Xenopus tropicalis: one gene and its partners. The protein of the gene in region 2 interacts with the protein of the main gene of each other region in a pairwise test. Links are inferred from orthologs where the notes say so. Each region holds a gene or a part of one and is shown on either strand. Other genes may lie near its edges.

Region 1 (3,759 bases), on a different chromosome or scaffold from region 2:
TGTTCAGTGTACAGGCAGTAGAATCTGGCTAGGGTTGCTACTTTTGGTGACCAGATGAGAGAAACAAAAATAGGGTGAAACCTGAAAACTTGTGTGAGTTGACATGTCTGTACAGAAAAAGAAAAACTGCCATGCACACCCCTTGTTTGTGGTACCTCACGCAGCAGCAGCACAGGTCACACATTAGAAAAGCTAACCTGAAGGCAGTTCTGCGAAGAATAGATCCGTACCTTACCTAGCGCAGACGTACCTATGGTCAGGGGACAGGCATGCACACGGGCCACCCTTGGGGGTGCATATGGGCACAAATATATCAAAATTTCTCTAAAGAAAAAATATATAGTGTAAAAGGGACATTCCATAATCCTGCATGTAATGCTTTAACTGATTGTGCCTAATGTGCCTTTGGTTGAAATATATTACAGAACCAGTGTACACTAGGTGCCTGTCTTTGTGAATCCCCCACACCATTAATGTAAAAAAAATCAAATACATGTATGTTTATTTGGCTATTTTATACTAAAACCTTTAAAAAGAAAAGCTACAGGGTATGGTATAAAAGTATGGACTGGACTAATCTGGCAGATGAGGGATGTTTAAGGGCCAGGTCTGTGTGGATAAAACTTACAGAGTAGTTATATGTTTTCCTGGAGGTTTCTTTCTGAATCATTTCTTTTCCAATAAAGAAATTCTAAGTATTATCTGCTTCTCATTTAGATGGAAACACCTCCTGCTTACTCACATGGTGCATGTGCTCACCCTGCTTCCTCTTCTGACACTTCACCTCCCACTGAGCAGCACAACAGCAGCAGCAGCCGCCTGTCTATTGCTCGCTGTGAGTGAAGAGGAAGTAGGCTGTGTGAGTGCCACAGCATGGGCATGGCTTGAGGCTTGAAGGCAATCAGCTTGAAAAGTTTCCCAGCTCTGTAATACAGAATTAAGGAGCTACAAAGCAAGAGTTCACCTATACCCAGCAGTTGGTTAAAGGTAAGTGCATGCATTGTTGCTTTAGGTGCATTTTCCTGTGGGGCCAGCTCCTTAGACACTGTTAAGAACTGGTTATCTGATGGACAATTTGCACAGGGCAGGTTGACAGTATATAACATGATAACCGAGACTGGCTGATATAAAGGATAATCAAACACATGACTTTCAGAGTGACAGAAAGTTTAACAGACAGGTCAGTGGGGAGACTTGAAGTTTCTGCGCCCCATAACAAAGTCATTTGCCACTTTGGCAATAATGTATTTTTTATAAAAATATACTGAGACTGAGTTTATCAATCTATGCCCCTCTGGGCGCCCATATTTCCTGGGTTCCCCAACAGTCACAGCATTTGCTTTCTCTATAGTTACACCCCTGAATGAATAAGTGATGCCGTAGCAATAATGTGCTGCATAATCGTATAGAAAGTCCATTACTACAAATTGAAGCAGAAACAATCAGCCCGTCCGGGCTTTATATAGCTGCTTTGTATGAATAGAATTTTCAGTTCATTTTGTTGGCCAGGAGTTGTTCGCAGCTGAACCTGATTGGGAAAATAAGGTGTGTGCTGAACTGGGGCAGACTGCTGGAGATGGGCCAATTACCCTGTAAACTTGTGTCGTTATGATGATTAGAGAAACATTGTGCTTCTTTTTGTGAAAGTGTGTCTTTGTGCTGTTAAGGTTGTACATTGTACCATCAGTGTGGAAGCCAAGCATCCTTTTTGGTTATAAGACCCCCTGTGTTTCCTTTTGGCAATAATAATATGTTTCTAGTCCTCAGTTGCCCCCTCTTTTCAGCCCTTTTTGTACTACAGTAATCTGTCACAAGGTTGTGGGAAATTGTGTAGTTCAAATATAGCAGCAGTTTGGGCACTGTGGGAGTTGTAGTACAGTACTTGCTTGTGCAGGTGCAGCAAACTCCTTTTTTATACACCAGTGAGGGTATTTTCAAGCTCTTGTAAGGAAGATGATTTAATTTGTGGCCTGCGAGCTACAGACAGGTTTGTGGCCGAGACTGCGCATAAATGGTGAGAGGATGATTCTGAGTGTAGGAGATCAGAAATGTGCAGGTTAAATAGAAAGGAGCTTAAAGAGGTTGTAAACTTTCTCACTGTGTCCCTTACTTCTCTTAAGTACATGACTAATTACTGATGCAAGAGAATTTACCAATGAGATTGCTGTTTGTCAGCATTATGTCATTTTGTTATGTTATCACACTGTAGCATCACAAGGGAGGATGCTCTTCTGTGTAGTTCTGCCATAGAAAAGGTTTGTTTAAAGCTTCCAATTACAGTGACAAAACAAACAACATGGAGACTAATCAAAGGGATTCTTATTGGAGGATTACTTTGCATATTAATTTGGGTCACTGGTCCTAGAAAGCTGGGTAGATTTTTATTGTGAACTAGCATACACACCCTGAAGTTGCTGGACTACAGCTCCCACTATACTTAAACCATTTGTAAAATGTTTTTTTGCTTTGTAGTCTAGCACATTTTGGGTAAACTGGCCTTTAAGGAGGTTATACCTGACACCCTGGCCAAACACTCATATTTAGCCTTGTATGAAGAGATTTAAACTTAGTAAGCAATTAGGGCAGACAGGCTGAGAATGCAGCTTCAGAATATTCTTTATGCTGCAAGCAGAGACCTGTAATAAAATGACATCACAGAATCTTCTCTGGCATCTGTTAGCTTCTGTCCCACCATCTAAGAGTGACAATCCAGCTATCTGATTTATACCATAGGAAGCTATGTAAAATGCATATGGAATATTCTGCAGGTTTAAATAAATATGGTTAGCTCCATTCAGCACAACCTCTATAGCGATCACAAGCTTAGATGAAGTGACAAACTGACTTTCATGCCCATGTATTTATGTAGAGAAAAAGACTGTTTTATCATAAAGGAAGGCAGAATCATTGATGCTGGAGAGCTTGTGCAACTTGGATATTATTTAAGGAATTTATAACCATCATCAAAGGAACCCTGTTGCATTGTGTTTACTGACATATCCTCAACTGATAACACACACATCTTTTGATGTGGTTCCCTTTTGGTTCCTGCATTTTCTTAAAGTGGACCTGTCACCCAGACATAAAAAGCTGTATAATAAAAGTCCTTTTCAAATTAAACATGAAACCCAAATTCATTTTTATATTAACACATCCAAACCCATTATAGAGGCATTTAAAAATCCCAGATGTCAATCATATATTGCTTGCCCCGCCTTTATGCCTTAGGCATAGAGGCGGGGCAGACAATAACTTTAGCTTTTCGTTCAGCACTACCTAGATGTCACTGCACATCTCACTTTTCCCCTCCCTCCTCATCATCTAATTGTGTAGCCAGTGCAAGGGCCTGGGCATCAGGTCCCCCATTCTGGCATATAAACAAGATTTTGGCATGATACCAAGCTTGCCTTAATAACAGTGTCCACAAAATGGTGCCTGCCTGCTTGCTTTGATTGAGTAATTCCAAGACGGAAAGAAACAAGATTGATATTATTTATATAGAGTAAGTAAAGTTCATTTTGCTCAACTAACAATATAGAAAATAATTTGGAGTTATTTCTTAGGGTGACAGGTCCCCTTTAAGCACTCTGGACTGAGGAAGGATAAATGTTATGATAGGCTGGAGGATCACCATAAATAAGAACTTCAGCTTATTACAAACTTGCATAATGCCCAGCCCAACACTCTCTAGGAAATGAATCGACCAGCTGCTCAGAGAGTGAATAATAGCAGGCTTCTAGCAGTGTTGGTACACTTAGG
Region 2 (3,759 bases):
GTATTTTTGGAGGCACATATCTTCCCTGCCAAAAGACTGTGGTTGTCTCAGGCTAGTAGAGAAGCCCAAATCTCTGCTATTGCGGGGACTAACTGCTCCGAAATGCCTTTTCACTGGCAACTAACTCGCTCCATGGGTCCTTAGCCTAAAGGTTCATACCTTTATTACTCCCCCTGATGGTAGCCCTGACATTTCCACTTCTTCATTTACTGATGCACCATACACCATGGTGCATCAGCTGCTTTGTTTTTTAAACCTACCCATCCATAACTGGGCCACCATCTGCGCACACTGAAAATCATTTCATATATGGTTTTATCAGTATGTATATGGTCAGCTTTGCTGGTGTCAGTTACAGTACTTTATGTGGAGGCTTGCCATATTAAGTGGCATTGCTAGTTTTATGGTAGCGTAGATGTTTCGCTTTAACCTACCTCCCCAGCTTTCCAGGGGCAAAAGATAGATACAATCACACAGGACATATTACAGCAGTTGTTTTAGATATTTACATCAGAGATTTCCAAAAAGCTCATTGGAGAATTTCAAATATATAGACTGTAAGCTCTACGGGGCAGGGACCTCCATCCTCTTGTGTCTTTGACTCTTAACTTATTGCAACTGTATTTATCTTGTATTTATTGTTATACTTTGTATTTATCGATTATCTTAATAACCCCAGTTTGTATTAATGTATTCTACTGTACAGCGCTGCGTACATAAGTAGCGCTTTATAAATAAAGATATACATACATACATACATACATACAAATATTTACTTTAGTGCTACTGTTTATTTATGTTGTAAACTGAACGCTTTTTTCTTTACATACCTACTCCATTAGTGGTATGTAGTGTGACCAACTGCACTGGCTGCTTATACTCTAGCACCAACCGACAGAGAGTCATTTTCACAATATTTTTGTACACTCGCTATTGCGTATAGCGGGGAGGGCATTTCCCGGACACAATAATATGTTATACATTGTATTTATCTATTAACTTAACCCCCTGTTTGTATTAATATATTCTACTGTACAGTGCTACGTACATAAGTAGTGCTTTGTAAATAAAGATATACCTACATACAAACAATAAGGCCCTGTTTCTGTGCAGAGCAGGTTATAATGGGTTAACATAACCCTAAATACTCAGAACAACCCACTTGAACCGGAAACAATGACTTGCACAACTAGGCGTATGTATTAAAAGATGATTTATATAATTGTTATATAGCACGTTGGAAACGAAAACTAAATCGCCTTGGGGGATTTTTGATCCAGTGCTTATAGGGTTACCCGTGCCACAAGCCCTACTTTCCCCTCAGCTTCCCTCCACTAGATGGCAGAGAGATGAATCGCTGATGCAGGCCTGTTGCAAGTGGTGCTGATTTGCCCGGCTCGTCTGCCACACAATCTATTTGCTGCGTGTGACAAGCGGCTGTGCAATGTGTCACGGTTAGAGCACAGCTGAGAGCTATTCCCGGCATTGCACAGGGGCTACCCCGCTCACTCCAAGGGAGAGGGACCTGCAGCAAACGGGGTAAGTTTCCTTAGCATCCTACACTACATGTCTGTTAGTAAATAGGGTACATCGTTCTGTGTAATTATTACTCAGCAAATGACATTAGATGCCAGCGCTGGGCGCAGGGCATTATGGGAATATTTCCTTGTCAAGTTGTTGTTGTTTCCCTCCTGGCTTCCTTGCTTTATATTTCTATTCACTCTCATGTAGTTCCTAGGTAACTGCTCTATAATATACAGGTCCTTCTGATGTGTTAATATTAAATAAGTCCTGGGTGATGCCTATTGATATATGTATTGTACTAATAAAAGGAGCAATGGAATAAAGTAGCCTTTGTGGTAAGCGGAATGGAGTTAGAGGGCAAAGTAATTCTGTATCATGGCACTGCTGTTGCCATAGTTATTATACACAAGCTGCTAAATGAACTGCAGTGCTTTGCTCTAAGGAGCTCTGGGTAATATGTGGTAGCTGCTGTGTTTGTATATAACTAAACCCCATATTCTAGTCCTTGTGTTGTGCCTGTCACTCTCTAGAGATGCTGCTGGCCAGTAAATTACTGCTAATTACTGTGTCCTGTTTCCCATTAGGCTTCCTGCCAGGTGTCGGATTTACAGACACTGCGATTTTATGTCCCAGAATAGTGAAGAGGTTATTACTGTATATTTGAAAGTTACTTAGTACATTTTGTTTCATTATGGAAGATTCGTATATTTGGGTTCACATTTCCTTTAAAACACAAGCTCCAACACGTGCTCAGACGCAGCAATTTCGGCCACACTCACTAAAACCTATTACCAATATGCTGTTATCCTGTGCAGAGAACTGAGCCCAAGCCTTGCTACTGACGTGAGATTGCCTCAACCTTTAGTTCCTGTGGAGATCCCATTCAACAAATAGAATGGAACTGGATTTATAGAGCTGCTTTTTTCTGGGGATACAAAGTACATCTCCAAAGTTATGGCAGCTCTGTTTGGGTGCAATAACTGGAGCAGCAAGGTCACAAGGATCTAATGCTGGGATACATGAATAGGTCTCCATCTTGAGATCAGATGTCACTGTCCTTGATCTCATGAACCAAAGAGCCAGCTACATATAGAAAAAAACTATGTAATGATATAAAGCAAAAAAATAAGGAAAAAATTAATATACAAGGCATGCAAAGCTAGTATGGATTAGGGATACAATACACATATACAATTGCTTATTGGTAGGAGGCAATAAGGGAAGGGCCATTCCTGTGTGAGCTTACAGTCTAAGAATATTTCCCATTTTTTGTAAATGATAAAAGACAAAAAACTGTAGTGAATCTGTAGTGAATAGCCTTATTATTATTTATATTTTTTATTATTATTATTACTACCCGGTCCCTGCCCCAGTTGAGCTTACAGTCTAAGTTCCTATCAATGATATCAGTAGCCAGTTCATATTTTTGGAGTGTGAAAGGAAACTGGGGTACCTGGAGGAAATAACACAAGCATGGAAAGAACATACAGATCCCATGTGATAGAGCCCTTCATTCATTCCAGTAAAGGAGTGAGAATGAGTGTTACAGTTACCCATTGCTTATTTTTCTTTTTTATTTCTTAAACTCCAGGCACTCTGAGGCTGATATATATCATACTGAGGTCATTGTCTCTCCTTGCATTGACTTGCATTGCACATTTCTAGACACAGAAGCTGTGTAAAGATAAACCATGCTTTCTTTGCATAGCTTAAATAAGATATATGATTCAAAATTAAAACAATAGCCTGAGCCATATTAACCCTATTTATTAGTTGTACTTTTGGCTCTCTTACATATTTCCCCTTCATATAAAATACACTTTACACCACAACTTGTTTGCTTTGCAGTGGCCTGAGCCAAATATGGGTAACACAGCAAGTGATCGCTTATCTGGAGATCGGCATGGCAAGTCCCACCGTGCAGATGGAGCAACTGGGGGACACTCTACTAAGGAGCATGAGGAAAACAAAATCATGGTTGGAAGCACAGACGACCCAAATATCTTTAGTACTCAAGAATCTAAGGTATTCCAATGAACTGAAAAGCTATATGAGACTGGAGTGGGAATGTGATCTTTTAATGCCATAGGGGTCATTTACTATGACCCGAATGCTAGTGTTAGAAGGGATGCAAAAATACATTCCATAGTGCTTCTTCTAAAGAGTTTATTATATGTGGACCTCCTGCTGTTGAACTACATTTCTGAGAAATCCCTTGACACAAAAGGTAGATAG
Region 3 (3,759 bases), on a different chromosome or scaffold from region 2:
CAAATTGCCTGTGTAAGATCATGAAAAATTGACATCCCATGAAATTTGGGGTGTAAAATTGGGGCTGTTCTGTATAATATAGAACATATAATAAATAGGAGATTTCTTATAGCACAAACACATCAAAATTACTATGCTCCTACGGTACAGTTTCCACCAATGCAATAGAAATCAGTAGCCATAGACAGACTGACTTACAGTAAGAGATGTTGGATAGGCGAATTGATTGGCCCATGGGTCAAATAGTTGAATATTGTGTGATTCGACCTTTACAAATGATGATGTCCTAAATGATTACTGAATGATCATCTGTACAAGATAGGAGTTTTCCTGTAAACCTTCTAGCTAGAGAACAATTGATCGTATTACTATTTGCCAAGAATATGACAATACAGGTATGGGACCCATTATCCAGAATGCTTGGGACCTGGGTTTTTCCGGATAAGGGGTCTTTCCATAATTCAGATTCATAGTAATTAAACCCAATAGGATTGTTTTGCCTCCAATAAGGATTAATTATATCTTAGCTGGGATCAAGTACAAGGTTCTGCCTTATTATTACAGAGAAAAAGGAAATCATTTAATAAAAATGTAAGATGGAGAGTTCATGTGACATTAGATTGCAAGCTCCACTGGAATAGGGAGTGAATGACTGTGCTACTTTAACAAATTAGAATAGTAATTGTCAGTTCATTAGTTCAGAAATTCCTATATAACATAGCAACTAAAGGGTTGTTCATTACTATCAGTAATTATATTATAAAATCAAACATTAGTTTTGTACATAACATTTTTTGTACATAAAGCCCCCAGAGCAGAGAGTGGAGGCAAATGTATTTATTTTCTCTTAAGACTATCAAACATTTTCAGTATAATGTTTGGGACTTTGGCATTACTTTTTACACCTGCAATCAAGGTTTTGTTTAATGTAATAGATTTTAATGCTTTTATACTGTGCATAATAGACTAAAACAGTAGCTGAATGTGGTTGGGTAGTTGTTAGTGGATGTGGGAAAGTTTACATTAAGGCTCCGGTCAAAAAGGAAGCACTGAAAGTAGCAACAAGGTGATGGAACTGGGATGTCCAGCCTTTCATTTGAATGCAAATGTATCTGGGGGGCAGGCAGTTATCTCTGACATCAGACTGGGCTTTAGTAAGCTGTGACTGCAGGCACCTGGCCACAGCATTGTTAGTCATGTGTAGCATCAAGGCACCGGCCTAACAGAGGTCATTTGTATCGCAACTCTCATATTGAACTACTGGGCACCATAGTTGCAGAAGTATTCTTAACAGGGTTGAGGATAAAGATGACCACCAAGGATCTCGCCTAGGAATGAACATCACATGTGGGAGACAGGCTATGCACAAGGACGTTACCATGTATCCACTTTCTGTAAGATCCGCCAGCAATAACCACTCAGCGCAGAATTACGCCTCTAACCAACCTTATTTCAACTATGTTACATATCATCATGTTCCACCTATGGATGAACAAGGGCAGCCCTGTGGAGTTTGGGGACCTCAGTATGGCTCACCAAGGGAGCAATGGAACTCTTATGGAGCTGGACCTTCCAACACAAATATGGCACAATCATCTGACTTATCACCTAACCAATTTGCCTATAATTCTTCTGGCTATAGCTCCCCGCATCCATCCGGCACTGGGATTTTACACTCTGTAGATTTGTCTCACACAGCTGCCAACTCACCCAGCGATCTTAGCCAGAATTCTTATGAATGGATGGGGAAAACCGTGCAATCGACTTCTACAGGTAAGAAAAATTGTACAAAGGGAATCATTGCTCAACTGATTAAAAATAGCTTAAAATCTTGACCTTTGGCATAATTATACCCAAAATGGAGCTACAAGTTGCCACTTGAAAAATAAAAATTTGCATGTGTTTTTCCACGTTATATATATTAGGCACACCCTTTAAATGTTTAGGCCACGTGGAAACACTTCTTCTCGTAAATAAATATATTCTTCTTTTTTCCCCCTAAATTTTATTTTTGTTTAGGAAATAATTGTGCTTTTTTTAAGCAACATAACCAAATTAATAATCCTGGTATTATAATGTTTATATCCCTTCTACGATTGCCCATAGAAAGCAACAGTAAACATGAGCAAAATTCCCTTGTTAAAACACTGTAGGAAAAAGACATAGTAGGCTCTTTTTACACAGAGAGATTATAAATTACTACTTGTAGCTGGCAAGAAATAGAGTTTATTGATTCCAATGTGGCAAGTACAATATTATGGCACTAGTAAGAAACAATGAAACCTATCAACAACTAGCAGCAGTCACATTTCTTTTTTGACATAAGCCAAAGCAAGTTAGGGTGCTTTTTAACATTAGATAGTGTAGCCGAGTACATTAACGGCTATCTCCTATTGTTATTAGTAACATTAATAAAACACTGCAATTCTTGTTAAAAAAGAGTTACAACAAATGTGCCTGTCTTGATCAACAGGGAACATCACTATTTCCCTGCAGAATATTATTACAAAGAAACCACACTGCTTTCATATTATACATACCTGTATTTAGTATTCTAAATAAACTTTACATTGAACAGTGAGTGAAGACAAGTATTTAACTACATATATATATATATATGAAGCTGAATAGAAAAACTGACTACTATAGTATAGCTCTAGGAATGCATATTTTTGGTTATAAAATTGTCAACTGACCATTTTAGTGGAATATGGTCAAGCTGTGCATCCTGTCAAAAGGCCTGATGTATGCCCATATAAATATGTGATGAGTGCCAGTGAGGGTCTAAATGCATGGTGTGTTTCATTATTAAATAAGGGTAATGGCTCACAAGCCTTTTGGCTCAGTGAGTGTTTTTTTCTGGGGAAAACTGAGACAACACTTTAAGAATTATCCCAGATTGCTTCATAATAGAGATACTAAAAATCACTTTTCTTATTGCAACTATAGACATGCAATCTGAGGCAGTTCCTGGTGTGTTGCTTTGTTTTAAACACAGACAAAATGCTACATATTCCACTGGCCCTAAAAATTAATGTGAAGGGGTGTTTTATTTTAGTCTTTGTGTGTGGATTTAGTCAAATTTATTGTACACAGCCTGTATGTACATGTAGTTATGCGTATATAATTATATATTAACAATTAGGATAGGGCTTTTTAATGTTCAACAGTGAGGGTCTCTGGCTACTGCTTTAATCTCATATATTATGAAAACAAAATTGAATATGCCCCTTCTTAGTGGGTAAATGGGGCATCCTGAGATGTGACAGTGAGATGAACTAGCTTCACTGCTTTTTAGGCTAATGGGCATAATATCTGACTGTTGGCTGTGGGCTAAACTGTTGTTTAGAAAGGTAGGACTACGTACAGCTTCCTTAATAATTTGTTATATGATTCTTTATAGGGTTAGGTTTACCTTTTTACATTAAAGCAGAAAGGCAACCAGAAGAAAATATATGTAAGTAAAATACCTAAATTCCCTCTGATGTATGTAACAGGCCACTGAGTATAAATTCCCTAACAAAATGATCAGGAATATCCCGCCTGAGCATATCAAGCTGATGTTAGACAGCAATGCCCAGCCTTGGGCATTTATGGACAGAAATAAATATATATATATATATATATATATACACATACAAACTGGACTTTTTCATCGAGAAATACAAAATAATTTAGGAAGTGACATATTGAATAACGAATGGGAACCTCTGCTGAATAATTTGGTTATTTTGGAAGAGCAGGCAGTTTTACCAGAGA

The links.
Region 1: the proteins of prkab2 (region 2) and stx11 interact in binary tests that used the Homo sapiens proteins (3 or more experiments, as listed by UniProt). The link is inferred for Xenopus tropicalis from reciprocal best matches to the Homo sapiens genes PRKAB2 and STX11.
Region 3: the proteins of prkab2 (region 2) and cdx4 interact in binary tests that used the Homo sapiens proteins (3 or more experiments, as listed by UniProt). The link is inferred for Xenopus tropicalis from reciprocal best matches to the Homo sapiens genes PRKAB2 and CDX4.

Annotation. Positions count from the first base shown.
Region 1 is NC_030681.2:45,305,648-45,309,406, forward strand, and holds the start of stx11 (syntaxin-11), read left to right. Parts: upstream 1-1,490; 5' UTR 1,491-1,545; intron 1,546-1,686; exon of another isoform or gene 1,687-1,711; intron 1,712-1,989; exon of another isoform or gene 1,990-2,014; intron 2,015-3,759. UniProt on the Homo sapiens protein: SNARE that acts to regulate protein transport between late endosomes and the trans-Golgi network.
Region 2 is NC_030680.2:118,092,694-118,096,452, forward strand, and holds the start of prkab2 (5'-AMP-activated protein kinase subunit beta-2), read left to right. Parts: upstream 1-1,434; 5' UTR 1,435-1,539; intron 1,540-3,372; 5' UTR 3,373-3,387; coding exon 3,388-3,549; intron 3,550-3,759. UniProt on the Homo sapiens protein: Non-catalytic subunit of AMP-activated protein kinase (AMPK), an energy sensor protein kinase that plays a key role in regulating cellular energy metabolism.
Region 3 is NC_030684.2:47,047,513-47,051,271, forward strand, and holds the start of cdx4 (homeobox protein CDX-4), read left to right. Parts: upstream 1-1,200; 5' UTR 1,201-1,334; coding exon 1,335-1,773; intron 1,774-3,759.